Lonchura striata: one gene and its partners. The protein of the gene in region 4 interacts with the protein of the main gene of each other region in a pairwise test. Links are inferred from orthologs where the notes say so. Each region holds a gene or a part of one and is shown on either strand. Other genes may lie near its edges. The genes, in order: AFAP1L1, ARPC5L, TSNAX and GADD45G.

The links.
Region 1: the proteins of GADD45G (region 4) and AFAP1L1 interact in binary tests that used the Homo sapiens proteins (3 or more experiments, as listed by UniProt). The two-hybrid records come from large-scale screens. The link is inferred for Lonchura striata from reciprocal best matches to the Homo sapiens genes GADD45G and AFAP1L1.
Region 2: the proteins of GADD45G (region 4) and ARPC5L interact in binary tests that used the Homo sapiens proteins (3 or more experiments, as listed by UniProt). The link is inferred for Lonchura striata from reciprocal best matches to the Homo sapiens genes GADD45G and ARPC5L.
Region 3: the proteins of GADD45G (region 4) and TSNAX interact in binary tests that used the Homo sapiens proteins (3 or more experiments, as listed by UniProt). The two-hybrid records come from large-scale screens. The link is inferred for Lonchura striata from reciprocal best matches to the Homo sapiens genes GADD45G and TSNAX.

Annotation. Positions count from the first base shown.
Region 1 is NC_134617.1:1,774,662-1,781,920, forward strand, and holds the start of AFAP1L1 (actin filament-associated protein 1-like 1), read right to left. Parts: upstream 3,019-7,259; 5' UTR 2,985-3,018; coding exon 2,969-2,984; intron 1-2,968. Other genes in the region: ABLIM3 (actin-binding LIM protein 3), read right to left, coding at 6,374-6,487, 6,724-6,804, 7,235-7,242. UniProt on the Homo sapiens protein: May be involved in podosome and invadosome formation.
Region 2 is NC_134624.1:10,673,438-10,680,467, forward strand, and holds the start of ARPC5L (actin-related protein 2/3 complex subunit 5-like protein), read right to left. Parts: upstream 3,007-7,030; 5' UTR 2,952-3,006; coding exon 2,812-2,951; intron 2,713-2,811; coding exon 2,631-2,712; intron 2,364-2,630; coding exon 2,187-2,363; intron 521-2,186; coding exon 458-520; 3' UTR 1-457. Other genes in the region: PPP6C (serine/threonine-protein phosphatase 6 catalytic subunit), read right to left, coding at 3,597-3,845, 4,507-4,716, 4,830-4,909, 5,262-5,403, 5,721-5,786, 5,877-5,972, 6,104-6,178; RABEPK (rab9 effector protein with kelch motifs), read left to right, coding at 6,302-6,360, 6,536-6,672, 6,743-6,895, 6,980-7,030. UniProt on the Homo sapiens protein: May function as component of the Arp2/3 complex which is involved in regulation of actin polymerization and together with an activating nucleation-promoting factor (NPF) mediates the formation of branched actin networks.
Region 3 is NC_134605.1:43,691,242-43,698,784, reverse strand, and holds the start of TSNAX (translin-associated protein X), read right to left. Parts: upstream 3,010-7,543; 5' UTR 2,995-3,009; coding exon 2,979-2,994; intron 1,313-2,978; coding exon 1,205-1,312; intron 1-1,204.
Region 4 is NC_134642.1:8,198,411-8,205,184, forward strand, and holds GADD45G (growth arrest and DNA damage-inducible protein GADD45 gamma), read right to left. Parts: upstream 2,647-6,774; 5' UTR 2,598-2,646; coding exon 2,545-2,597; intron 2,438-2,544; coding exon 2,336-2,437; intron 2,232-2,335; coding exon 2,018-2,231; intron 1,705-2,017; coding exon 1,594-1,704; 3' UTR 503-1,593; downstream 1-502. UniProt on the Homo sapiens protein: Involved in the regulation of growth and apoptosis. Mediates activation of stress-responsive MTK1/MEKK4 MAPKKK.

The DNA of each region.
Region 1 (7,259 bases), on a different chromosome or scaffold from region 4:
GTTTGTGCAGGGCTGGCAGGGAAAGGTTTCCAGCCCCATTGTCTTGTCGCTGGCCTGGCACGGTGACATTTAATCGGTATTTCACAGGACAGAGAGCTGTGTCGTTCATTTTAGGGCTCCTCATATGCAGGAGGAGATGTGTTCCTCAGGAGGGAGGGGGAGCTGTGCCAGACTAGATAATAGGGAAGGGTTGGGGGGTTAGGACACAAGTCTGGGAAGCCAGAAACCACTTCAAGCCTCTGCTCTGCTCCACTGTTATCTCCTGTCCCCAGCAAGTGATTTGGCCACTGAACAACAGGCAGAGCTTGGGTCCAGCCCAGTGTTCTCCTCTGAACGGGCTTCCCACTGCTCGGGGTGAGACAGCTCCTTCAAAACCTTAAACAAAGTTTTCCTGGGCAGGGAGAGGAACCTCCTGCAGGCCCGTGGGAGCTCAGGCACCGCTGCTCGGCCCAGGGCAGCCTCGCAGCTCAGCACGTTTGCACAGGAAAAGAACATTTCCAGGTCAAGAGCGGGGAAGAGGCAGGTTTTCCAGGCAGTGCAGCACACAGGACAGTCCCCAGGGCTCCTGGCTGGGGGGACACCATGCCACGATGTCCTTCCCCTCTCCAGCAGCCCCCCTGTGCCCTTCCAGAGCTGCCGGGAGGCTTCGCACGGATCCAGGCTCTCCCTGCTCCGGCCAGCGGGAGATGGGAAAATCCAGAGGGGCAAACAACTCCAGCCCTTCATCATCATCATCATCAGCAGCAGCAGCAGCATCCCACCTCCCAGCCTGTTCTACCCAGCCCAGGGGGGCTCAGCCCCTTCCCCAGCACCCCGGGGCTGGGAACAGGCGGCGGCCGGGTTTCGGGGAAGGAATGGCTGCAATGCGGAGCAGAGCTCGGCACTTGCCCGGCGCTAACAGCTGGCCCGGGCTGTGCTCCTCAGCACCCCCAGCCCTTCCTGCCACCGCCAGGATTCCTGCTGCCAGCCCGGCAGGAATGATCCCGGCTCCCTCCCACCCGTCCCGCAGCCTCTCCATTCCTGTGGGCGAGCTGGAGCCAAGTTTATCCCTGACACATCTCCGCCGGCTTGCCTGGATTTAGAGCCCAGATAAGTTTGGGGCAGGACCTAAATTGTGGTGGCTCAAAAGGTCAGGGAAGAGACACTACCGAGGGAGGAGAAGCCATGTGTGAACACAGGCGTGTTTGAGCAAAGGATCACCTCCCAAATCACGTTTTGGGAGCTGGGTTCTCCATCAGCACGACCTGAAACAACTCTGCCAACAGCCCACAGCACTAATCCTCCCAGTCAGCCACGAGAAAAAACTGGCAGATGATAATATCGGGATACAGCAGCTCCAGGTGAAGGAAGGGGCTGCCAGAGACTGGGAATGGGCACAGAGCTCCTGCCTAACGCCAGACCCCTCCTTTTTACTGGGGAAAGGAACCTTCCCTCCACGAGCCACAGCCCCCAGAGGGATCCAGCAGCTCTGGCTGATGAGCAGGAGGGGCAGGGGGAGCTCTCCATTAGCAAAGCCATCCAGGTGCCAACAGCAATTCATCACAAGCACTCAAAAACAAAGCAGGCAGGCGCTGCTGTCGCTGGCACCAGCGAGGGGGATAAAACAGCTCTTCCCTGGCAGGGTCAACCTGTGGAGAGGTCGAACCATGCCCAGACACGGCTCCCTCAGCTGGGCATCCCCCCCTTCCCTGCCATCGGGTCCTAGGTTTGGTTTTTGGGGTGGGCTGGGGCGCAAACAGGGAATTTCTCATCAGAGACCCTCTGTCCCCCTGTCCCCAGCAGTGGCGTCCCCTGGGACCCTGGAGGACAGCTCTGGCATCAAGTGTCACTTGAAAGCACTCCCTCTCCTTCAGAGCGGGCACAGCCACCCCGGCTGGACACAGCCACGGGGACGGCTGTCCCTGTCACCATCCCTGTCCTTGTCACCGTCCCTGTCCTTGTCACCGTCCCTGTCCCCATCCCTGTCCCCGTCCCCTCCCGACCCGCGGGCCGCTGACACCGCGCCTGTGTTCGCAGCAGTCCCAAACTCCTCCGGGCTGTTTCCAGTGCGGAAACGCCACCCCATCCTTTTCCATGGGCGAGGGGAACTCTTGACCCCTGGGTCTCTGCGGGGCTGCCCCGGGGCTGCAGACACAGCACTCCTGAGCCACCCTGGGACTCGGTCCAGCCCCGGCAGCCAGAGACGCCCCTGGCCACTCTCTTATGGCTTTTGGCCATTGTTTCTGTAGCACCTCCAAGGACAGGTCAAGGGGCAGGACCCCCGCGCTCCATCGTGTCACCACCTGCTCCTCCCGTGCACCCCGATGCAATCAGCCGCAGCAGCAGCAGCGAGGAGCAATCCCCCTGCAAACCTCCCCGCGCTCCCTGCAGGGATCTGGCAGCCCCAGCAGAACGCCAGGACCTTCTCTGCAGAGCTGCCCCCAAGCCCTGGCAGGTTTACACAGATCCCAGATCAAAGCCCGGGAGCTCCGTGAGCCCGGTGCCACGGGCTGCAGGCAGCAATCGCACACGTGTGGGATGGAGCTGCTCCCCGGCAGGGCGGGGACCGGGCCCTCCGCGGCTTCGGGAGACTCCCCGGCGGGGAAACCCTCTGCACCCCATCGGCCCCATCGGGGAACGTCACCTCCCTTTCCACGACCACAATTTAACAAACGCGTACACCCCGCAGCTTCCCTTGCAGGCTCCTGACGTTTTACCCATCCTACCAGCAAAGCAAAACTGCTTCCAGCTCCTACCCCAGCCGGCCCTGCTGCAGGACTGGTGGGGGGAGCAGCGTCCCGCACGGAGCCGGGGGGATGCGGCCGCTCGGCTGCGACGGGATGCGCGATTCCCTTCGCCTGGCACGGGCATCCGCGGTGCCCTCCGCGCTGTGCTGCGGGCAGGGGATGCGCGACCTGTCCCGTCCCATCCATCCCATCCCGTCCCATCCATCCCGTCCCGTCCCATCCATCCCGTCCCGTCCCCTTACCGCTGAGCCGGTCCATGGTGCGGAGCCGCGGCACCGCGGCCGCCCCGGGAGCTGCGGGCGGGCGAGTGCCGGGGCAGCGGCCGCCCGGCGGGGCCGGCTCTCGCTGGGGGCGGCCAATCCCTTCCCCCGCCCCTCCCTCCCTCCCTCGCTCGGAGCACTGCAGCGCCGAGCACCGGCCCGGCCCGGCACGGCACGGCACCGGGGACAGCCCGCGGGGACAGCCCTGGGCTGGGGCTGGGGTCCCCTGCCAGCCTGCGTCCCCATCGGCACGCAGAGACCCCCGTGGCAAGGGTGCGGGGCTTGAGTGAGCCCCTCCACCACGACACGAGGTTGGGCGACTTCGGTTTCGGGGGAAAATCCCGAATTCCCACAGCCCGCAGCAAGGACAGCTCCTCCCGAGCCCGCACTCCTCGTTCCCCCTCCCCAAAATCCCCTCTCTGTCCTCCCGAGCCCGCACTCCTCGTTTCCCCCTCCCCAAAATCCCCTCCCTGTCCTCCCGAGCCCGCACTCCTCGTTTCCCCCTCCCCAAAATCCCCTCCCTGTCCTCCCGAGCCCGCACTCCTCGTTCCCCCTCCCCAAAATCCCCTCTCTGTCCTCCCGAGCCCGCACTCCTCGTTTCCCCCTCCCCAAAATCCCCTCCCTGTCCTCCCGAGCCCGCACTCCTCGTTTCCCCCTCCCCAAAATCCCCTCCCTGTCCTCCCGAGCCCACACTCCTCGTTTCCCCCTCCCCAAAATCCCCTCTCTGTCCTCCCGAGCCCACACTCCTCGTTTCCCCCTCCCCAAAATCCCCTTCCCGTCTGCTCCCCCTGTGCCCAGCGTGTCCCTGACCAGCACAGACCTCCTGGCAGAGCTGTGGGACGTGTGGCAGTGCCCCAGGTGTGGCAGCAAGGACAGAGGCTGTGGCACTGCCAGGACAGTCTGGGCTGAATCTCAGCCCCGTGGGGACAGCAGTGTGATGAGCTTTCACACGTACCCACCCAATTATTATCACTTGGGAAAGCAATAATTAAAATATCAGCTGCAAATTAGCAGCTGGCACGGAGAAATTCCCCTTTTTGGGGCAATTTCAGCCCAGGGAACTCACCCCTCTCATCCCCCCACGCCCAGCTGGGAACCAGCTCCTGCAGGGGTGGTGTTTGATGGTCTCTCCATTCTGGATCGAGCCCCAATGTTCTTCCACAATTTGGGATCACCTTTGGGTCTGTGGTTGGGGCAGGAATCTCAATCCAGGGCTGCCAACACTACCAGGCTGCTTTGGGAATTGCAGAGCAGCCAGGGACAGCTTCCAGGGCAGCTGGTGACACCTGGGGTGTCCCTGCACCCCACCAGGGCAGTGGCACACCAGCAGGGGCCCTTGGAGTGTCTGCTGCCCCAGAGAGGTTGCCCCGGCTCTGAGAGAAAAAACCCCAAGCCCTGCCTCAGTTTCCCCACCTTTGCCATGCAGGTCCTTGTGTTACTGCCCATAAAATACTTTGGAAATGAAAAGATCCTGCTGTTGTGTTATCACTGTTATTCATAACATCCCCCAGGCTGCCTCTCTGGAGCTGCTGCTGGAGAGGGACGATTCCTACAGCCACAAACAGCTGAGTTTGATTTAGAGAGCCCTTTTCTGTATGAGTGAAATAATTACAAATAAACTCTGCTCGTTTAGTGCTGTGCTGGAGCAGATGAGCAGATCCCAGGGCGATGTTGTCACCTCCACCTCAATCCCCAGCCCTGTCCTGGCTGGCACAGAGCTCCAGGGCTGGGGCTGCTGCTGGGAAAACTCCTGCCCTGAACTCTGGCAAACCCCGCAGGGGGAACCTGCTGATGGATTTTTGGGCAACAAACTGGGCAGTTTTGGATGGCAGGGAGGGAACTGAATCTGCTCCATGGGGACACCAGGACAGGAGGGTTTCACAGTGGAGGTAAAACCTGTGCTGTCCCTTCACAGCTGACCCAGCTCCTGCAGGTACCCCACAGGTCCCTGGCCTGGTTTTGGGACAGTTCAACCCTGCTCTATGCCTGAAAATCCTGCAGGATGAGCAAACGGGAAAGCAGAGCACCACAGACAGCAGGGAAGATGTTTGTGTGGAAACAAACTTATTGGTTTTATGAAAAAAAAAAAAAAAGTTATCCCATAGAGTTTGGGACACAAACAGGTAGAGTTTGCCTTCATTCCCAGAGGGATTCATCAGGGAGTCAGGCAGCTGTGATGGGGAACTCAGGAAAACCCAGCAGAGGTTCAGCAGGTGGTGGCACCTGCATTTCCCACTCCTCTCCTCTGGCCTTCCCCCAGCTCCCAGCTGGAATCTCCTGGAATACTCAGCCCTGGACAAACCTGAAGAGCAGCAGGAAACTGCAGAAGGCAGGAGGTGGCTTTGGCTGTTCCACTTAAGAAGGGCTGGGCTATTCTTGGGAGGATAAACTGGCTCTGGAGCAACCCAAGCTTGCAGGGAAAGCCACCAGCCCAGGAGGGATTGGGACTGATGTCCCCACCACTTCCATCCCCTGCCCCAAGCTCTGCATTTCAGATCCTGAAGTGCCCCCAGTCCTGGCCATGTCAAGGCAGGGATGGATTTAAGGAGCCTGGAGTGAAATCCCATTTTCCTGCCATTGTGCCCAGGGCCTTTTCCACCCCAGCTGGAATGTTCCTCTAAACTGCAATTGTAAAGAAGATTAGTGAGGGGGTATCAGCCTCTTCTTCCAAATATCAAGTGGAACAAGCACAAGTGGAAATGGCTTCAAGTTGTGCCAAGGGAGGGTGAGATTGGAAATTAGGAAAACTTTCTTCTCTGAAGGATTGTCCAGCACTGTCACAGGCTGCCCAGGGCAGTGGTGGAGTCACCATCCCTGAAGGAATTTGAAAGACATGCAGATGTGGCACTTGGGGACGTGGTTTAGTGGTGGTCTGGGCAGTGCTGGGTTAACGGTTGGACTCAATGGCCACAAAGGTCTCTTCCAACTTAAACATGAGCCCATGATCCTGGAAAAATATTCATTTGTGCACGTTGAGGCCAGCTGTGACTTCTTCTTCAACTAATTTTTGAAATTAGCTATTCCTGCAAATAGAGGAACACCCCAGCTGAGCAGAAGGGGATGGGACACCCCAGTGCAGCCCCCATCCCAAATCCTGCTCTCTGCCAGCCCCAAGCACCGTGGCTGCAGCAGGAAAATCTCCCCTGGTGTCCCTGAGGGGCAGCAGTGACAGACACCAAGCGTGGGCTGAACTCAGGGATCGACACAGAAATCAGGCTGGAAATGAAACACAGAGCACCAAACGATCTGCAAGACTCCAATTCACTCTCAGGGGGGCAGGGAGGGCCCCTGTGGCCCGTACAGCCCCGAGAATCATACAGAGCTGCCATATAGAGATCTCTCTATGTATATATTTATAGGTATGTATATATTTATAGTGCACTGCGCTTAGAACAGCCGGGCCTGCTTCTTCAGCTCGTTCCTCTTCCACAGCGCCAGGCGGTCGAACTCGGCCATGGTCATGCCGAAGATCTGGTAGAATTCCTCCTGGGACAGGTGTCTCTGGGGAGAAACGGGAGGCTGGGCACCTTCCAGGGGGTCTGAGGGCACCCCCTGCCCGCAGGGACAACGGGGTGACACGAGCCCCAGCACTGCTCCCTCAGAAAGGGGAGCACCTGCCTCCCTCCTGCCCCTGCGCAGGGAGCAGCCGTGGCAGCGCCCTGCCACTCGTGTGCCCCACGGCCACCGCGTGCCAGGGCTGTGCCCTGATTGTCCCCAGTGAAAAAGGCTCTTCTCACCTCCAACCGAGTCCTGTCCACGTCTTTGGGCAGCTGGTTCCTCCCCCTGGTCTTCACCAGGAGCAGCTCGTAGGGGTAAATCTGCACGGGGACAGGGACAGGGACACTGGGGCGGCCACAAGGCACGCGGGGCACACTTGGCACTCCTGCTGTATTTAGCAGGGTTTGGGTGGCACAGCTGGGACAAGGAGAGGTGGGGACTGCTCTGGGGGTGACCCCGATCCTCCGTGGAGATTCAGCTGCTCACTCTGCAGAGCAGGGATGAGCCAGGCACGAGCGTGAGCAGGACAGCACCAGCACAACCCCCTGCTCTGCTCCTCACCCAGGGGACACATCTGCCCAGCAGCCCTGGCAGAGGGAGGGACACAGCCCTGGCGTGGGGCCGGCAGGTCCAGGATGGAGGAGAGGAGAGGCAGAGGGCAAAGCTTCCCCCAAAGAGCCCGGGGGCACACGGATGCTCCCTGGCACTGCCAGCTCCGGCGGGTGGCTCCTCGCAGCAGGAGGCTCTTACCTTGTACTCTGTGGGACAGCAGAAG
Region 2 (7,030 bases), on a different chromosome or scaffold from region 4:
GCAGGCACTTCACTTTACATTAAGCCAACACCAGAGTCCAAGAGTCCTTCACCCACACGTTCTAAGAGCCCTTGTCCCACCCTCAGCTGCAGGATCCCAGCCTGGACACAGCTACCTCGGGACTAAGCAGGACACACGGAGCTTGTACCACCACACCTGGCTAAAGCAGCATCTGAAATACCTGTTCACTTACAGCAGTAGGAGGCAGGAGTGTGCCTTCTCTCTGCCCGTTACAGAAGGGAGCAGGAGAATGTCTTGGCTCCTGTGTGTGATAGTCGGAATATGCAGGAATACCTTTACTCTTCCCCCACCTTAAAGGTTAAAAGCATTCCAAGAGGAGGTTACTGTAGGATTTCAGTAGATTGCAATCTCTAATAAAGATGGACCAGTGTAATTTCAGCTTATTCCTTCTTCTGAGTCCAAACCTGACCGTCACCTCTGTCCAAGTTAACAGTCTTTAGACAGTCTTTCTTGCTGTGAGAACTCTTATAATGGAGCCCAGGCCTCCTACTGCCAGTGCCTGTGGGAAAGGAGAGAGGTTAAGAGTCACCACGTCCCACACAGAACAAACATCAAAGAGTTTAGCACAGAAGGGACTATGGCTCTTCTCCAAAACTAGAAACTGTAATTCTCCACAATCTAACTATCTTTTGCATCTCCAGTGTTGCAAGTCACTGACAGAGCAGAATGTCTCGCCTCCTGTATCCCTGAGGAGGAGGAGGAAGGGCTCACTTCAGTTGAATTTGTGTCCCTCAATATGAACAGTGTTTCCTTCTGAAGTCTAGAAGATGGAGGTGATTATGAAGAAAATAAATTTTTAAGATGACTGCTGGAAGTGGGGTGTTTACTTTGCAACCACAATCCAGTAGATTGCTCTACAGAGTACAAGAGCAGAAGAGACGTGGAGCTGGGAAACATGACTAGACAAATGCAAAGCACCCACCTGGAGCAGGACTGGCAGGTGAAAGCTCCTGAGCTACCAGACCTGCCACAGGCCTTTTCCAGAGGACAGACTGGTACTACCACTGAGCTGACTATGATCTGAGCAAGCCACACGTCCTACCAGTACTGCCACAAAGCAGGACACCAGGCTTTAAACCCTGCCTACTCAGACCTGCCTTGTTCCTTTCACAACAGAGAGCATGAGATGCCTTTCATGTCCCTGCACGCTCTGAGTATCAGTCAGGGTGGTGGTGTGTCACCTCCCACGCTGGGAGCACCACCCACGCTTACCTGAAAGCACCTCAGTGGAAACAACAGGAAAAAAAGAAAAAAAACCAAGCAGAAACATGTTCCTTGCTGTCCCGAGAAATTCTCTCCTCCCTTGTCAAGGCCTGGCAAAGCTGGTGACAGCAGCCAATAGCTGGAGTCACGCTACACCAGCTTTATGTACAGCAGGAAAAAGCTCTGCACCTCGGGAAAGGACAGTGGCATTCACAGCAGCTGCCCTGCACAGGGAGCTGCAGTGTGCCCAGGGATCAGTTTTCCTAGGAGCACTGACAGCCTGGGCTTCAGCCAAAGCCCCTGCAGGGGGGGAAGACTTCACTTGGATTCCTGCCCGGGGGCAGGGGCACCCAGCAGCTGCTTCAGGGCTGTGCCTCAACCCAGAATGTGCCTGGGCCCATCACACACAGGGAAGAAAGTTGCAGTATCAGCTTCTGAACACATCCCACACTCCCTGTTTCACAGCTGACATTCCAGAGGAACGAAAGAGGCCCCTGCTGGTCCCCATTGGAATCTTTGGAGACCTCAAAATCCTCTCCTGGGCAAACCAAACAGGTTTGCTAAACCCTGTGACTCAGCTGATGCAAACTGCCAGCCTGACTCCCTGAGCTCGGCCCCAGAGGAAGCTGCAGCTGCCCCGTCCATCCCATCACATCTCCACTCCCACCCTTCTCCTTGCTGGAGCCCCTGCCTGCCCTGGGGGCCAAAGGCAGCACAAGGAGAACTCCCTGCTGCAAGTTTCCTCTTCCCATGGCAGAGGGTAAGGTTTGAAATACAGGCAAAGGCTTTGTGAATGCAGGCTCAGAGAGAGCAAAGGTAAAAGGAAACAGTGAGCAAAGGTAAAAGGAAACATTCCTCCTCAGGGATGAGGCCCTGCCCCACCTGCTTCTCTTCAGGGGCTCTCCTGAAACCACCACTGGCCAGGACCCTGCGAGCGAGCCAAGAGTGCCCCCAACACGTACCTTTTCATGCCACTGGAGTAATATTGCACTGCTGTTTTCTGTTGGCTTTTCAAATCCTTTATAAATGTACTTCATTAACAAATCAACACCGTTTCTGTCTAAGGAATTCACCGCTTGTTCTATTTCACTGCTTTTAAAAGATGTGAGGACTTTAAGCATCGTTCCCTGCGCCTGCTCCTGGGAAGACAAGGCAAAGAGAGAAATGTGAGGACGAGAACAGCTGGAAACGATCCCAAGACTCGTGTTTGGCAAGAGGTGGCCACGCTCCAGGCTGGGTTGTCTGGGTGAGCGCGGTGAGCAGACCTGGGGTTAGCGGAGGAAGGGTGAACACGGCGGGATGCCCGTGCCAGCACGCTCAGGGCTGTGCCGGCAGCAGCGGCGCCGCTCAGACCGGCGGGGCGCCGCTCAGACCGGCGGGGCGCCGCTGTCCCCCCCGGCCCGTACCTTCACGGCCTGGCTCCGGCTGCTGCCCGGGGAGCTGCGGATGGCGGCGTGGAAGGCGCGGAGCGCCTCGCCCGTGCGGCGGCGGTCAAGGACTCAAACGGGACCTGCGTGCGCGGGACCGCAGCGCGGCTCCGCCCCGGCCGCTCCCCGGGACCCCCGGGACCCCCGGCCCAAAGGATATTGCCTGAGCAGCGCCTCCACCTCGGGGCCGGCATCGGGCTCGGCCGCCGCCGCCTCCTCGGGCTCCTCCACGAAGCGGTTCTCGTCGTACTGGTCGATGTCGAGGCGGCGGAAGCGGGACGAGAGCGTGCTCCGCGCCATCGCCGCCGCCCGGCCCCGGCGGAAGCGGCGGCGGAACCGGAACGCGCGGCGCCGCCCCGCCCCGCCCGGAAAAACAGCGCAGCCCGGGAAAATCCCAACCAGCCTTTAATGTACGCGTCCCGCCGCTGCAGCGCTCGCGGCTCCGGCCGGGATCCCGCGCAGAACGGACAGACCGGGAACGCGGAACAGCCCTTGGAGCGCTTTATTGGGATCCACGTAACACTCGGAAAACGCTGGCTCGGTCCTGCGCCGTGAACGCAGCACGGGCAGCCCCGGCCCCGCCGCACGCCGCGCGCTGACTTTGCTGCTGAAATTTCTTAAAACTTAGCAAAAACAAAAAGTGAACAAGAGACGGGCCCGAGCGGCTCCCGGAGCGTGGTGGTTAAAGGAATCGGTTCATCTAACCCAGGACTAGGCGAGGACTACATGCAGTAGTACAAATCTCAAGGACATATTACAAATACTCTGAAATTAATCTAGGGGCGAGGGAAAAAAAAACTTGCTACAGACACCATAATACACAATAAATTTAGATAATTTAAAAATAAAAAAGGCAAGAGGCAGCATTTCAGCAGCAAAGTGCTCAATAAAAAGTATATTGAAAAGGGGCAGGACAGGGAGAGGTGAGAGCAGGCGGGCGAGGGCTCAGAGGAAGTACGGCGTGGTTGTCCTGGGAGGAATGACACGCTCTGAGTCTGGAACTGCGCGGAATAACTTTGGTTCTCTTGTATTTACATCTTTAAAGACCATGATGGAGGCGATGTTCCCGCAGCGGTAGCAGTAGTTGGGAGCTGACCATACCGTTACCAACTTCTCATCAAACATGAATTTGTATCCTTCGTGGACGAGCTGGTGCGCTCTGCAGATCAGCTTCAGGTTGTTGATGTGAACAAACTGCAAGGGAAGGGGAAAATCAGCGTGGCCCGAGCGGCTGCTGCCCACACCACGTCTGCTCCTGGCCTGACCGCACACAGCAGCATGGAGAACACAACAGGAGGAGTGAGAGCACTGAGAAACCCCTGTGAAACCCCTGTAAAACACGGCTGGCGACACCCGAGCTCTGAGGAACAGCATGAGTCCTGGGGCTGTGCTGTCCCCAGGCTCAAGCCTTCCTAACATGCTGTGCCAGGGCCACACGACAACGCAGTTGAATGTGGCCAGGTCAGAGCCTGCCAAGGCCAGTGTGTAGAGCCCTGAGGAGTCTGCTCAGCACAGACACAATAAAATTAACTCAAAAATTGCTTAAAAAATGGTATTCTTCTCCTAGATCCTTAGGAAACCATTCCATAGACAGCCCAGGAACACAAGTAAGTCCCACCACATCAGACTTTTCAAAAGCAAGATAGGCATTAGTACATCTGGCAGTTACATTTGTGCTTTTAGGTTGAAGTGGCTCATTTTTTCCATCTGGCACAAGCCACGAGTTACTGGCAGAGGCGTGACGGGGGAGTTTGGTGTCCTGCAGTGCCCTGGGTGCACTCAGCACCACCCTGAGCTGAGCCCGTGGCTCCCCCATCCCCACCCCGGGCTGCGTGGCCCCGAGCAGCAGCGTTACCTCGTTGGTGACCTTGGCCCCGAAGAGCCAGCCCGCCCCGCGCGGGCTGATGGCCCACGTGTCCACGTCCTCCGGGTCCGACCACACCAGGTCGCAGAAGGCGCCTTTGTGAGGGATTTCCTGGTTCCGCTCAATGGTCCGGATCTGGTCCAGGGTCTTGATGTCTGGGGAGAGGCCTCCGTGCACGCACAGGATCTGCTCGTCTATTAGCTGCAGGGAGGTGACACGTGCACAGAGCCCTCAGCAGCGCTGCCGGGGAGCTGCAGCTCAGCCTGCAGCGCCTGCCAGGACCCCACCGCTGCTGGCCTGGCCTCTGCACTTACAGCTGCTATCGTGAGCATGTCGAAGACTTTGGTGCAGTACCTCCAGGCGTTGGCGTTCCCGTATTTGGTTTGGCACTCATCTGTTGGAGAGAACGGGTTTGTTCCTCTTGGATCTCGGGGAAACACTGACGGCAGAACCTGCATGCTCAGCTGTGTCACATGAGCTCTGTGCTGGGTCCTGCTGCTGCCCAGAACCAGCACCAGCAGCAGGGAGCAAGAACCTCACGCTCTGCCTGTGCCACTGAACGTGGCACAACACAAGCAGAAACCCCACGTGCCAGAGGAAAAGAGCAGCGAGATCTGCCTCAGACACGTTCCATTTCAGAAGCACCGTGACCTTGTCACCAGTAACAAGCTGCAGCCCGTGTCCCAGCCAGCCCCGAGAGCCCCGGCCCCGTGTCGGTGCCAGCGTGCTTCCCGGGCAGGACTCACCGTAGAACCCGTACACCTGGGTGATCTGCCGGCTCTCGTGGTTGCCTCGCAGCAGCGTGATGCGGTCAGGCCACTTGGCTTTTAGTGCAAGCAGGTATGTGAACGTCTCGAGGCTGTAATACCCTCGGTCTACAAAGTCCCCCTGGAGGCAGAGACGGCGGCACTTGGAGCGACAGTCACACGGGAAAGTGCCCGGTGACAGATCCGCCCCCAGCTCCTCAGTGCCACAAGAACCCGGCGCTGCAGGGCAGGGGATCTGCGGGACCCGCGGGGCTCTCCTCCCCTCACCGCTGTCCTGAGCTGACCCGGGACAGCCTGGCAGGGCGGGATGCTCTGCCTCACCCCCGGGCTCCCGGCAGCACAACTGGGGGCAGGAGCCAGCAGCGGCCCCGGGACTCGGGAGCCCCTCGGGACTTCCCCCCAGCCCTGTCAAACCCGGCGCGGCCCGGCCGCACCTACCATGAAGATATAGTTGGTGTCGGGAACCTGCCCGCCGGTCCGGAACAGCTCGCACAGGTCATAGAACTGCGGGGGGAGAGCGGCGTGAGGGGGCACCGGGCACCGGCACCGGCCCCGGCCCGGGGCTGCACCGGGAGCGGCCCGGCCCGGCCTTACCTGCCCGTGGATGTCCCCGCAGACGGTGACGGGAGTAGAGACGGGCTGGACGTTGGACTCCTCCAGCAGCAGGTCACAAACATAGTCACAGAGGCGCTACGGGAGGAGCGGGGCAGGGTCGGGGTCAGCGCCGGGACCACCGGCACCGCCCGCTCCGGCCCGCCCGGCAGCGCCCACCCCGGCCCCAGCCCGCCCCGGCTGGCCCCGGCCCGCCGCCGCGGCCGCACCTTGAGGTCGTTCTCGGGCAGGTACTTGCAGAGCCGCGCGATCTCCACGTACTTGTCCAGGTCCAGCGGCGCCATCTTGGCTCGGGCTCGGGCACGGCGGGCCCCGCCCGCCACTTCCGGCCGGCGGAGCGCGCCGCGGGCGCGGGCGGAAGCGCGGGGCACTTCCGGCGGCACTTCCGGCCGGGCCCGGCAGCGGCCATGGCGCCGTGGGCGCTGCCGCTGCTGCAGCCGGGGCGGCGGCCGCGCCCGGGACGGTGGTGAGCGCGGCGGGCACGGCGGGGGCACGGCGGGGGTGATGAGGGCACAGCGCTGAGCGCGGCGGGCATGGCGGGGGTGCTGGGGGCGCGGCGGGGGCACAGCGCTGAGCGGCCGGGGGAACCGGCGGGCCCCGGGCCGGCCCAGCCCGCGCTGAGCGCCGCCCTCGTCCCGCAGGTACCGGCTAAGCCCTTGCGGGGAGCGGCCCCGCGGCCGCGTGGGACTCGGCTGCCTCCTCCTCCCCGGCCGCGTCCTGCTGCTGGCCGGTGCCGACCCCGCCGGCGCCTTCGCGGACGCGCACTTCCTGGAGCTGGGTGAGGGCCGGGCCGGGCCGGGGCCGGAACGGGGACCGGGACCGGGACCGATCGCCTGTCCCCTCCACAGCCCCGCTGCGCTGGGTCCCCGCCGGCTGGCGCGGGCTGAGGCCGCGCTACGAGCACGCCACGTTCCTGCCCGCCGGCCGCGCCCCGCGCCTCTGGGTGTTCGGCGGAGCCCACCCCGCCGGGAACCGCAGCTGCGTTCAGGCGCTGGACCCCGGTGAGTGCCCCGGAGCGGGGCTGCCGGACGGGCTGGGCCTCTGCTCCCGCGCTGGTTGCTCGGTTAATCGAATGTCTTCACTAGAAACAGGAACGTGGGAGAGCCCTGCAGTGAGGGGGGAGCAGCCACAACCTC
Region 3 (7,543 bases), on a different chromosome or scaffold from region 4:
TGACAGTAAAAAATTAAAAGTTGAAAGTACAGTTGCTCTACTCAATTCAAGAGCAACCATACTCAATATAAATGATAGAGTGGTTTGGTTGAAAGAAACCTTCCAGATCAGCTAGTCCAAAAGGACACTTTCCACTACATCAGGCTGCTCAAAGCCCCCTCCAACCTGGCCTTGAACACTTCCAGAGATGGGGCAGCCACAGCTTCTCTAGGCAAAGTTCAGGGGTCATGGTTAATCATCTGCCAAGTTGATTTACACAGAAAAATATAAACACCCATTTTTTAAAAAGCCAGAAGTTATATGACATTGAAGGACATATTAACCATCTAAAGCAGCCAGCCAGCTTATATTTTACCCTTCTTAGCATCATAAAAAATATGTGGCACGGGGAAAATTTTACAACAAGAGTTAATCTGCTCCCCATCTCAAATCTCCTTCCTTCTTCAGTCAAGGCTTCTCATTTCTGAAGGTCAGCTTTGCTTTCTTAGGAGTTGTCTAATGAGAAATTTAAATTTACTGGAGTTTAAATCTGGTTTGCTGAAAAAGCCTATAAAAACAATTTGGCTGAAGGAAAGTTTACACCTGCCTTTTTAAAGACCTTTGAATATATGTTAATATTTAAAAGGCATTCAAAGTGAATAAAGTGACTACATAAAGGTCTATATTAGTTCGTTGAAGTCTTTTTTTTTTAAAGTGCAGGTATAAACAACTACCAACTCTTAAAACAATACATTAAAACAATTACATTTCCTTAGCTTAGTCATTTGTGCATCACAGCCAAGGTCAGAGCCTCTTCAGTTTCCCAAAGGTCACCATCTCCTCCTGTTGCTCCTGTGGCTCAGATTTTGTATTACACCTCTGCAGATCCTACATTTTTCTGTCACCAAAGGGCCCAGTCACCTTTTGTCTGGCCGAACACTTGTGCAATTTGCTCAGCATCAGGTTCAGCACAAGTGAGAAGGGCAGGGGGAACAGCAGGTGAGATGGAAACAGGAGCAAGTCATGAACCAGGCAGAGCTATGCAAAATCCCACTCCCAGGACTTCACTGCACAAAATGCAGAACACTAAGCTCTAAAGGTATGGAGTATGAGTTGAATTAGTTTCAAGCTTCTCCCTTGGAGAGAGCTGGCTTATTTCACTAATAACTTCCTAGCAATTTCTGCACCACATTTTTAAAACCTGGTTTTCCAAATTCTTACTTACATTTAAAAGATGTCATCAAAGCTGAAGGTGGATTAACATTCTCTTTTTCTTCTCTTTTTTGACCATGTGGAAAATGATCATGCTTTCGCTTTCTGAACCCACCTGATCCTATTAAATAATAGACATAAAAAAATAAAATTAAAAAATAGTTTTGCCAGAGCAAAAGGAGCACCAGAATGCTGTCTTCAGAGCATTTCTGGCTGCAATCATATTCTACAGGACAGAATAAGGTAATTGGATGAAACTTATTATCAACTGACGCCAACTTCACATTATCATGTTACTATTTCTTCCACATTGCTAGTGAAAATTAGAAAAAAAAACCCATTTCAATGGATAAGCAGATGGTTGCATGAAAATCTGTGATTTATGTCACAGGTCTTAACATGAAGAAGAAGTGAGGCACAGTTTAAGCAGACTACCCCTACCCAAGTATATAGGTTTAGCTCCTGCAGTGCAGCTTCTTACGCCCCTACACTCTGCCCATTAACCAGTTTCTTCTCTGAATGTAGCTGCTCACTTCTACTGCTCTGTGTGCCTCTTCCTTAACCCTCGTTTTCAGACCCACACCCAGAACTCATCTCTTTTGGACTATGTTTTACTCCAAATTTACACCTTGTATTGTTTCTTCCTTTTATCCTTCCTTCACCTTGGACTAACATGACACATCATGTCACCCATGTGTCAACTACTCCTCTCTCTCCCTCTTTTTGGTGACAGCTGTACACTGTTCCTAACAGAGCCAAAAATTTGGCAAACTTGAATACAGGCATATCTTTTGAATTCATTTAGTTCTTTCAATTTCCTTAAAACAAGAACCAAGGGAACACTGGATTTTAAAATGCTTCCGCTTAATTGTTTATTATCCCAAACCAAAACAAGAAGTGGGCGTAGCTACTTTCTTAAAGAGGAAACCAAAAATATTTTTTTCTTTATTTTATGTTGGACATGAGTTCAAGATTTTTTGCTTTTCCTATAGCAGTTGAAAACATTAAATGAACCCCCCGAAAGAGAGATGAAGGGAGGTCTGTGTGATTCTCGGTAGTACCAAGCAATAGGACAAGAGAAAACGGGCAGAAATCAATGCACAGGAAGTTCCATTCTTCCTGACTACACGGGAGAACTTCACTGTGCAGGTGACTGAGCACTGGAACAGGTTGTCCTCAGGCTGTGGTGTCTCCCACACCGGAGATGTTCAAGAACCATCTGGACACAATCCTGTGCCAGGTGCTCTAGGGAGACCCTGCCTGAGCAGGGAGCTTGGAACAAATGATAGCGCCGTGGTCCCTTCCAGCCTGACCCGTTCTGTGACTGCCAGGGCTAAACCAACACAGAGACGGCAGAGCAAGCTGTGAAAAATATGTATTTCACATATATATTGTGATGTATATATAATATTTTATACGTACATATACACCCACACACTATAATGAACAGTTAGCACAAGGGCTTCACAGGCCTCACACACTCAGCTTCCCTCTGTGGCATCTGCTTTTCCACCCCAGGGATACCGACCCCTCCAGCCACGTTCTGTGGCAGCCGCACAGCCGCAGCGGGAGGGCAGCGCCCCCGAAGGAAAGGTCCGTGACACCCGTGAAGGGGCGGCCTCTCCCAGGGCCAGAGGAGGGACCCGCTGGCCACGGCACAGGCTCCGCACCCCGTCCCCTTCCAGCCGCGGGGCCTCCCCCCGCTTCCGCCAGCTCCTCACGCCGCGGTCTCCTGAGAATGGGGCAGGGTAGAGCAGGGTAGGGAAGGGAAGGGCAGGGGACATCACCTTCCTTGCCGCTCATCACGGAGCCGCCGCCGCGCCGCGTCCCCCCGGCAACCCGCAGCCGCCCCGCGCGCCGCCAGGACCCCGCCGCGCCGCCCTCCGCCCCCGCCCTGACGGCGCCATGCAGGGGCGCCCCGCGGGTGCCTGACGGCGAAACGCCACACAGGCGGCAACAGCCCGGCCCGCCGCCCGCGGCGCGGGAGGCGCGGTGCGGAGGTGCGGAGCGGTGGCGGCGCGGAGCATGGTTCGGACGTTGCTGCCCGCGAAATCGGGGCAGTGCCGAGGCCAGGCCGTGCCTCCGAGAAGGCGACTCTGTGGGCAGCTAGTGTGCGACCCCTTCGTGGGGCCTCAGCGCCCGCGGCATGACGGGACATGTAGTGCCGGGCGGGGCGGTGGCGCGGTCGGGGTGGAGCCGCGGAGCTCTGGGTTGCGTGCGGCTGGCGTCCGGTGTGTCCCGCATCCAGAGCAACCGTGGTCCTCGGCTCGGACCGCAGAAATCTAGCGACAGTCCTCAGCCCAGACCCGCGCTGCCTAGGCTGTCATGTCGCCTTCCCGTCACCCCACGACAGACTCCTTACTGCCGCTTTCTTCCCCGGGCATCCCAGGACTACGGCGCTTCCAGGGAATCACAGAATCGGTTGGGTTAAAAAAGACCTCTGGGATCATCGAGTCCAACCTATGGCTGAACTCATGTCAACCAGAGCGTGGCACTGAGTGCCACGTCCAGGGAGAGTCAAAACACTTAAGCACTTCCAGGGATGGCGACTCCCCCACTTTCCCAGGAAGCCCATCCTAGTGTCCAATTGTAACATTCGTTCTGTGAAGCAATTCCTCCTCGCGTCCAACCTAAACCCTCCCTGGTACAGCTTCAGACTGTGTCCTCTGCTTACTGGCTGTCCACTTCTGTCTCAGTGCCCCTTTCCTGCCCAGCATGTCAGGATCCAGGTGCTCTCCTCCCAGGCAAGGTGACTGGGAGCACCCCCAGCGCAGCACCAGGTGCCCCCTTACTCCCCTTTAGTGCCCATCTGTCGCTATAGGACACGTAAAAGCACAACGCGAGCCGCTGCTATTTGCAAGGTAAAGAAGAAGGAAGTTTATTCTCTGACTCCAACTTTTATACTTTTCCAAAGGTGACAGTGGATTGGAGAGTGAATGGGCCACCTCTCCAAACACATTGGACGAACTACCAGTACATCAAGTTTCTCTGCCCCTATGAAGGAATGCAAAACAATATGTTGTTTATAGAAAATTGTGTGAGAAAGTTTTCTAACAGAATGTAAATTCAGAAGGCTTTAGAAAATCTTAAGAATCAGGGCGACACCCATCCACACAGTGTGCCAGGGCAAGGAGGCCAGGGAGGATGGCAAGCTGACACTGAGACAGGCTCTGGAAACTGGAGACACTAACTGGACATCGAGAAGATCTGATAGTGAAGCCACCTAATACCAGGAAAAGAAATCTGAGATGCAGTGAATGTAGCTGCTGGTACAGAGGAGGCAAATTCCCAAACTCAGGATATTTGCATCCTGGTAAAAATTATGTTTCCTCTACTGGAGACTTGGTGTGAGTGTTCTCAGGATAGGAGTGTTCTCACTGCAGGAATGACCACGAAGGAGATGGACGCACACCATAAATACTTCCCAGCACAGAGAGCTCTTGATGATGCTTCTCTTCTTATGATGAGCTACAAAAAGTCTGCTTGCCTACTAGGTTTATACTTCCCTACACATGCATCCTGATGGATTCCTCCGATGGAAGGAAAATAGGGATGGGTCTTGCAAATCCCCAAATTAAAAGGTTTGCAAATCATCAGTCTTGCTCCTCTGCTGATAGATCTTATTTCTTGTCACAGCTGTTGCCTGTTTTAGTAGCTGGATTCCCAAGGAAACAAAGCTCATATGAGCACAAAGGCGGAGTGCTTGCAGCCTTTGTGTGTGGGTGTGCATGTGTGCCTGTCCTTCCTCCCCACCCTTAATAATTTTTTAATCTGTTGGTCAACTGGTCGATCTGATTTGACAGAGGGAAAGAGCCTCCAGGAGTGATTATAAACATCCTGAGTAAGGAAAAAATTTTGGGTGGAACTTGCACCTTACTAGAAATCAGATAAACCCAGCTGTGAAATGCAAATGCTTCAGAGTCAAAAGTTAGCAGAGCCCAGCCTGTGGGAGTTCTGGAAGAGCAGAGCCACTAGCCCAGTATCAGGTCTTTTGCATTTAACAAATAAACAGCTTTTGACAAACTTGAATATCAGGTGAATCTGTCAACAGATTCAGGAGGATAGTAACTCACCTCACTCAGATAGCAGAGAAGTAAAACTTTGACAGTGAGGTTTAAAGTCTCCAGGCAGCCAAGCAGGAGTTGCTCAAACCTGGTATTTTCAACTGTTGAGAACATGTGACTGTCATGCAGTGTTCAAAATTATTCAGAAGTGTAACATAAAACCTTTCTCCAATTTCCTAATCTGAGAAAACAGATTTCAATCACACTTGAAAAACAGAGGACAAAGAGAATCCCGGCAGAACTTCCTCAGGCCTGATCTGCATATTGAGTTGTGCAACAGCTTGATTGCTGCCCTACCAGCTGCACAGGAGATTTCTGCTTTCTATGGGGCAAAATCAGGACATGAAATTATTTGTGTCGGTGTTATCGCTGCACACATTCAGGCACAGCCTTTTGTTTTAGAAGATGTACAAAACTGCTTTTGGAAACACATACCTTTTTTTTTTTTTTTTCAAACTGTGCTATTTCCCTGTTCTTGGCAGCTCTTTGGACAAAAAGCAGAGTTGTTTTGGTTATATCAATGTCGCAGGAGAGTGGAAATAGTGCCTGCTTCTGAATGCTTCCCAGCAGTGGAGAATTTTCAGCCAATTGTAGGGAGTGAAGGTCAGGTCTTCAGCCGATTTTTGTTGGACTTAGTGACACTTTGCACGTGCACTGATATATTCAACTTGTTTGACTTCAACAGGATGCTGTTGTGAAAAACAACTGGTTGGGGTTTTTCTTCTGAAACAATCCACTTAAATGTAGCAGCATTAAACCACTTTGGTAACAGGTTAGCTGCAGAATTTTTCATTTTCTTCTAGCTGGTATTTAAACCTTTTCCCTTCCCCTTACAGTTTTGTGTTCTTTATGCCTGAAGAGAATGGCATCTGCACCTCCACAAGTGTGAAGGTGGAATAACAACATTTTGAAGGAGGAATTGGTAGGAGAAAGGAGTTGTGAGGATTTAGGTTAGGGCAAAACCCCCAAACAAGCTAACAACAAACTAACAAGGTTTTCTCAGAGACTTAAGATCTAAAATGTTGTATATGGATTGCACACGACTGCGCTCTTGAGCCTAAGACAAGGTTGGTAACTCAGCTTTCACATAGGAAAGAAGTGTTTTCCAAGACTCAGGGCTGTGAGAACACTGCACAAGTGCATAGACCAGACAGGATCTGCGCCTTTCTGAGTGGGGAAAACAACTCTGTAAAACAACTGTAGGGAGTTGGAACTTGTCCATTCATTTTATCCCTGAACTCTGCTGCTTTGGGCAATGATCTGCTTCAGCAACACTCCTACACAATGTCCTTCAGTGAGGCTTCTGGTCCTCTGCAGTACTATCAGCAAACACCACCTCAACATGGCACTCAAGGGAGCAGGAAAGGAGTCCTTCCTTTTCTGTAAAAGTCCAAGTTTAACACTGACTCAGCTGAACTCTGTGAAGGGCAGACAGAGGAGTGTGGTGGGCTCAGCTCAAGAACCACACTAATGAGGCTGCTTCAACACCTAGAGCTTCAAGTAATGGAGCTGTGCAGAGGTAGGACCCAGGTGATTTGTCAGGCACATGAAATTACAATTTCTTTCTGCCCTCAATAATTTTGATGCAACTCTGTGGAAACTGTTTAAGATCCCTGAGATCCCTGGCAGAGTTCATGGTGTAGCTCTTCATGCCCCTGTATGCCTCGTATAGCTTTAGAGACAAATGCTATCTTTGTGGTGCCCTCCCACGTTTAAATAACCAGCCTGGGAATGTTTCCTAAAACTTCTGCTAAAGCAGAATAGCACTATGGATAGTTAGAGCTGGAATTGTCCTGGCATATCCTTTTAGGTTTCATTTTATTTCATGACATAGCATAGTACTCTTAGAGCAAGACTGTGAGGTTGCCTTGGAGATGCAGGGCTTAGCCACGGGGCAAGCTGTCACACCGAAACGTTCCCATTAGCCAGGGTAACTGCGAATGCTTTCCACAAACAATTGAGTGAAGTGAAGTGACAAAAAGCTTATGAAACGGCCACAGGGGAGTTGCATAAACTGGGGTCAGGTGGTCAATTTGAGACTGTTCCATGACCGAGGAGTTTCGCAGCTGGTTGATGAAAGGAAGCGGGGAGGTCAGCTGGTCTCTAGCTGTTATAACAACAACCTGTTATGTTTCTCAGGCAACAGAGATGCCCACAGCAGTGGCAGGATGGATCAGGAGGATGATTTCCTCATTTCCTGGAATAAAGTTGGAAAGCTGTGAATATTTTACTGCTGGTAGAATTTGAGATTTCAGGATCCAAGTGCTAATACACCATGGTGCAGCCTT
Region 4 (6,774 bases):
CCGCCTGTACAAGGAAGCATATTCCAGGAATGTTGGAGCTGAATTTGAACTTCCCTTATTGGGAACAATGAAACTGAGAGCAAGCAGCTTCCTTGCTCAAGTGGAAATTACCACTTTTCAGCAAGTGCTACTGTCAATCACTGCAAGCCAGCCCAGAGGAAATGCAATTGTGATAACTGAGTGGTTTTAGTGCCTATAAAGGAAGTGAGTAGTTTAGCTTTCTTGCTCCGTGGAGAGGGGATTATTACTGTGCCATTTTAATGTCAAGTCCTGGAGCACATGCATAGTTTGTGCACAAAAATGGGGCGATGTTTTCCCTTTTAACATAGGGCCAAATCAACCCACCCATATTAACTTTTCATGACAGAATGTCTAAAAAGGGCCACACCATCCTTAAATTGTTTTGGACTTAATTTGGTGTTGTCATGCAATTAGGTTTCACAAAATTGGCTTCTGGACTGACAGCTTCTATTGTTACAGCATATGGCAATCAGAGAGCAGCTTGTGGCAGATGTGATGTTTATTCACCATTTGCTAGTTTTAGATTTAATGATGTCATTCTAATCAAAGCAAATGTTAGATGTGTTTGACATCTAAGGAGTTTTGCAGCCCCCCCATCATGTTTAAGCCACTTCTATCAAGTGGAAACACGTCAGCTCTGAATGCATCTAAGTCATATTTAAGAATCAATGATGCAATTTACTGGAGGTCTGTATTCCAAAAATCCATGTTTCTAACATGCATTGTGCTCCTCCAGCAGACTACAAAGACCTGCTATTACAATAAGTAAGCTCATTAGGCATGCGACTCCTTCGTCTTGCAAGCTGTTGCGATAAGCAGCTGTTACAAGAGGGTAAAGGTTGAATTATCAACTTGGACAGCACAGCACTTCATTCAGCCAGCCCAGCAAAGTATTTGAGCAATAACTCCATTACTGTGAAGCCGATCTTCGACTACAGCACACAAGCAAAACATCAGCAGTATTTAAGTGACATGCTTCCCCACACCCAGCAAGCAAGACACTCCCAGAAATTAATTGTCAAAAATTTATTATGAAAGCTTCAATAGCAGCAAATATTTCAATAAAAGTTATTGCAGTATTAAAACAGATCTGCAGAGTGACCCAAGAGGCCTGTTGAAGTCTGTCTGCTTTGGAATATCTGCATTTGTCTTAGTAAGCAATCCCCAATACTCCATAAATATTGATACTTTCTGGTGTGTTTTGCAGACAGCACCAACAGTTCCTAGTTACAGTACTCTATCCAGTCCTTCTGGAAAGTTTTGGCCCACTTCCCTCAACTTTCCCTCTCCCTTCTGAAACAGCTCCACATAGCCAAACTTGCAATACTTCTTTCAGTTCCATGGTATGTCAGCCTCTCCACGGTTGCAGCCTACTGAGGCTCACTGGTGAGATGAGCTGTTTTCCTCTTTCTTCTCTGTAAGAGCCCACTGCATGCCAGTCTGAGGCACTTTAATCCAGTCTCTTGACCAGGCTAATCCATGGAATCAGCAGCTTGTTGCACATTTTGGTGAACGCACAGCACGTTGAGAATGCAACAAAGGTTTCAGCCTCCCCGGTGCACCAGGTGACCATCACTCAGGCAGGGTGATAGTTGGCACCCAGTCATTGACATTTCTGCTCTCTTCGCAAAACAAATTCAGCTTCTCCAGAGCTGGATCCTTCCAGCCTTCTTCATTCGGGTTCTGCAGAAAAGAAAAAAGTTGCACACCGTGAGTGCTGCCCGTCAGCTGAGGTCATCGTAACATTTACAGAAGCATTAGCTTAGGGCTGGAAGCACTTCCAGACAGTTTCTGTCCTGACACAGACAAGACAGGAAGCAGAGATGCTGCCCTTGCGGACAGCGGAGGAAATCCAGTTACGAGAAGTTCTGCCTCCTCCTCCTCCTACCACTCAGCTGACTCGCTGCGTGCCAAGCGCTCTGTCTGTGCCCGGCAGAGGACTCGACCACCCGCAGCGGAGCAGGGGCCGCGCCGGGCAGAGCCGCGGGACACCCACCGTGATGAGGATGCAGTGCAGATCGCGCGGCTCGCCGGAGTCCTCGCTGGGCCCCACGATGGCCGCCAGCTTAGCCACGTCGTTCACCCGCACGATGTCGATGTCGTTCTCGCAGCAGAAGGCTTGGATCAGAGTGAAGTGGATCTGCAGCGCGATGTCCCCCTCGTCCTCCTGGTCCGCAGCCAGCACACAGAACGCGACGTTGTCGGGGTCGCTGCGAGAGGGGAGCAGCCCGGTGAGCGCCGCGGTCGGCACCGGCCGCCCCGCAGCCCCGCCGGGCTGCCTTGCACACTGCCCTGCCCCCGCCGCCGTACTCACACATTCATCAGCTTGGCCGACTCGTAGACGCCGGCGGTGAGGCAGCCGCGGCGCTGCGCCGACACCAGCAGCTCGTGGAGGGCCGTGCCGGCGCCCTGCATCCTGCGGGCCGAGAGAGACACCGGGTCAGCGCGGCGCCGCCGCCACCGCCGCCCCGAAACCGCCCGCTACCCTCTCGCCTCGGCTCCCCAGCGCCCACCCGCACGTACCAGTCGTGCCCCGCAGGCATGGGCTGCTGGCCGTGGATCTCCTCCAGAGTCATAGCAGATAGTCCGCACGGCCCCGCGCCTCCCTCAGCTGTGGCTCCGCGCACGCCGTGAGCGCTCTGAGGCGGCAGCCGGCCGGCGTGCGCTACTTATAGGCCTCGCGGGCGCCTCCCGGCCTCCCATTGGCCGGCGGGGGAGAAAGGGGCGGCTTTATTATGCTAATCGGCGCGCGCCGGAGAGGAAGATCGGGGCGGGGGGGGGGGAAAAGAGTGGCTCGTGCCGGGAGACCACGTGGGGCGCGCGGGCACGCGCCGGCCCGGACAGACAGACAGACAGACAGACAGCGGAGCCGGCCCGGACAGACAGACAGCGGAGCCGGGCCGGACAGACAGACAGACAGCGGAGCCGGGCCGGCCCGGACAGACAGACAGCGGAGCCGGCCCGGCCCGGACAGACAGACAGCGGAGCCGGGCCGGCCCGGACAGACAGACAGCGGAGCCGGCCCGGACAGGACAGACAGACAGACAGCGGAGCCGGCCCGGACAGACAGACAGACAGACAGCGGAGCCGGCCCAGACAGACAGACAGACAGACAGCGGAGCCGGCCCGGACAGACAGACAGACAGCGGAGCCGGCCCAGACAGCCCGAACCAGCGGTGCCAGCGATACCGGCGGTGCCGGCAGTGCCAGCGGTTTGCCTGCAGGCGTGGCCGCTCCCTGCACGCCGGTCGCCCGTAGGCACTGGCAAGTAATAGGGCGATTTGTGTCCAAGACTTGGAAGGAAAATCTGTACAGTGCAGGGGAAATAAAATTAAAAAAAAAAATTAAAATAAACAAGAGATTTTATGAATATGGTTTCTGCAAGGGTGTACGCCGCGAAGGGCCAGCCCCTGTAACCAGGGCTAAGGGCAGCGCTCTAGAGGTCCTGGGCTGCGCTGGGCAGGCAGCTGGTGATGCTCAGCAGTGGCTCGGGCTGCAGGAAATCCCCGCCGCGCCCTGGTCTGTATGAGCAGGAGCACGGCCAGCCGGCCGAGGCAGGTGATAATCCCCCTCTGCTCAGCACTCCGGGACGCAGCAATGTGGTCTGTCCGGTTTGGGCACCCCCGGCCGGGGAAACACGCCGATAAACCGGAGTGCAGATGAGGGCACCGAGGTGTCCAAAGCTGTGCAGGCTGAGGGACCAGGGCCAGCTCAGCCTGAGGAAGGCAAAGTTTGGGTGGCAAACTGCAGAGCCCAAAACCCGTCGAGTGATCATTTGGAAGATAACACCGGGGTCTTCACAGCAATGTTTAGTGGAGCAGGAGACAATGAGCGGAGTGTAATCAAGACGCTCAGATGGGATGTAAGAAAAATCCTTTCTCCCTGAGAACAGTCAAGCAGCAGAGCAGGCTTCCTGTCCAGGGAGGCTGTGTAGATTTCATCCTTGCAGGATTGCCCCCATGCAGACCTGTTCTGAGGTCACTGGTAACCCTTCTGCAGGCTGTGCTGGTCTATGATCCTGGGAGAGGAGGGTGGTGTGAGCAAACAGAGCATTTTTTTTTTTTTTTTCAGTCGGGTTTTATTAAAAATAGCTGTAATTTGGACAGTGTTCATAATTAATTCAGAGTGAAACGAGTGTGATTGCTGAACTCAGATTTGAACCTGTTTGTCAGCAAACCAAGCAAGAAAAAACCATATTTTCCCGCTGTGAATGAGCAACAGACAATGTTAAAAGGCAAATCACATTTCACGTCCCTTCAGCATCTGACACGCTTAAGCTTACAGCACTTGTCTGCACCGAGTCACCGGTTCAGAGCAGCGCCGTGCGGTCCCACAGAGGCTGTGCGGAGCCTCCTTGGGATAACCTGTGCTACTGCGACCTAACTTGTCATCCTTGCTGCTCTCTAGCTTGCAGCCACACCCATCCGAAAGTGTTGAAACACAGGGGTGTCCTTTCCAAGACTTCACCGGGAGTCCTGGATGAAGCACGTCTTATCTGTGACTGAATATGCTATACTCTGCTCAGTTTCAGTCTCTTTGAGCATCACAATTTCCAAAATGCCTCTCAAAGAGAGCCACTTTAATGAGCTGCTGTGTTTCTACTTCCAGTTGTTTCTAGAGACCCTGGTGACACGAGAGGTGACAGCATTCAACCTGGCAGTAATCACTTAGTGAGTTGCCATTTTAAGCTAGTGACAACATAGGCATGATGTCTGCCAGACACATCCAGCCTCTCTAAGAACATTTCTCTGATGTCTACAGAGCTGTCAGTACTGGGAAGAAAACTCTTCATTGTAAACACCAGTCCTCGAGCCTCGCAATCTTTTTTACCCTACTAACGTGCAAAGACTTGGAAACCAAACCAGTGACTTGTCAGTCTGAATTTGAGTGAGAAGGGCATAAATTTTTACTTTGCCTTCTCTAAAAAAGATGTGAGAAGTCTCCAGAAAATTATCTCCTGGCCTGTATTCAGGCAAGTGCAATTGTCTCCACTTGCTGGAATTAGCATAGTATACATAGCATGTACAGTTTGTTCTCAAAAGATAAAAACCTTTCATACATCTGCTTCTTTCTTTTTCCTGGTTTGCTTGTTGTTTTTTTGTTTGTTTTTTTTTCCTCTAAGTATATAAATGGGGATGAATGCAGAAGAGTAGCTTGAATGGTAAGACACATTAAGTGGTATGTCTCAGATATATTCAAGGGCCTATTTCTGATGAAATAGGTGGAAAACCCAGAACTGACTCACAGCTTTGAAAGATGCTGATATCAGCTATCACTTTGATGACTTTCTCAGTGCACTAAAAATTAAAGTTACTTCAGATGGATCCGAATTAGTAAGCCAAAGTAACTCAGAGTGGAGAACAGAGTATATGTAATAGTAAAATATATATAATTGTCTAGATAATAAAGTGGTATATTGAACCTTATTAACATATTAATCCTTCATGCAAGCTTCCAGTTTCAGCTTAATGATGCAGCACCCCGGAATTAAGGCTTCTTGACATCACACTTTTCAGTGTGCCCCATTATTCCCAGGTCTCCTAGCACAGATGGTGCTGAAGGCCATGAAGCGTTCATTACGAGATAGCTGATCCCGCTTGTTTCAAAGCACAGTATCAACACCAGGCCTCTGACGCAGGAGAGGAGCTGCAGAAAGCAGCGCTTTGCAAGCCCAAGGCCCCGTCCCTGGCTGGAAGGCATCAGCTCCGCAGATGTGGTACCTTGGATGCCGAATAAGCAAACTGAACTTCGGGCTGCGCTGACCTCTCGCGGCCACCCGGGACGCTTACAGCGGAGACACGGGAAGAGAAAAACAAATAAACAAACAAACAAAAAAACCCAAACTCAAACCCAAAAAAAAAAAAAAAAAAAAAAAAAAAAAAAACTACGCACAAAAAGCCACCACAAACAACAGCCAACCGACCAAACTGAAAAGTAGACCTTGACACATCCTACACAAAATAAATCCCCTAAAGTGTGTTACCTGATCCATAGACATGCTCGAGGGAAGGAAGGCTCTACAGAGATCTGGACCGACTCAGTCAGTGGGCCAAGGACAATGAGGCAATGTGCTGGGTTCTGCACTTACTCTCAGCAAACCCATGCAGCACTACAGGTGGGACAGAATTGGCTTAAGAGCTGCTCGGCAAAAAGGGACATTACCTCTTGGCCTAAGTAAGAGGAGACTCACACCTTCCACATCAGAAAAGGCTTGCAAGCCATGGTAATAGACCCCCCAGCCATGGGGCTCCTACCCTGCACTCACCTGCACTCACCTGCCTAGTGCTCCCCTGGCTTGTGCTGCACATCCAGACTTTCCATCAGAAAGACTCTACCAAGATAGACAAGTCCTTTCAGCTCAGATGCAGTACTCCCTTCTCAATGTCTTTCCAAATCCATCTCCCTCTCCCTTTCCATTTCCATCTCCCTCGCCCACTCCAGTTCTCCCTCCAGTTCTCCTCCCTTGCAGACCTATTGTAATCACCCAGCAAGCTTCTTTCTCCAGGTGTGGATGTCACCAAATAAAAACCAAATCAAAAACCTTCCTACTGAACACAAGTTTTAGGAAGCTCTACAAATTCTGTGGTTAAATTCAAGATGATTTAATCAAGCTGATTTTTTCTGTTTCCAGCAGATCAATAGGTCACCTACCTCATCCTCATATAATTTCTTTCCACTGAACCTGAAACAGAAGTTGCTGATCCCCACGCCTCATAAACCAGGTAGCATCCTCTGTACATAAACTTTATTTTG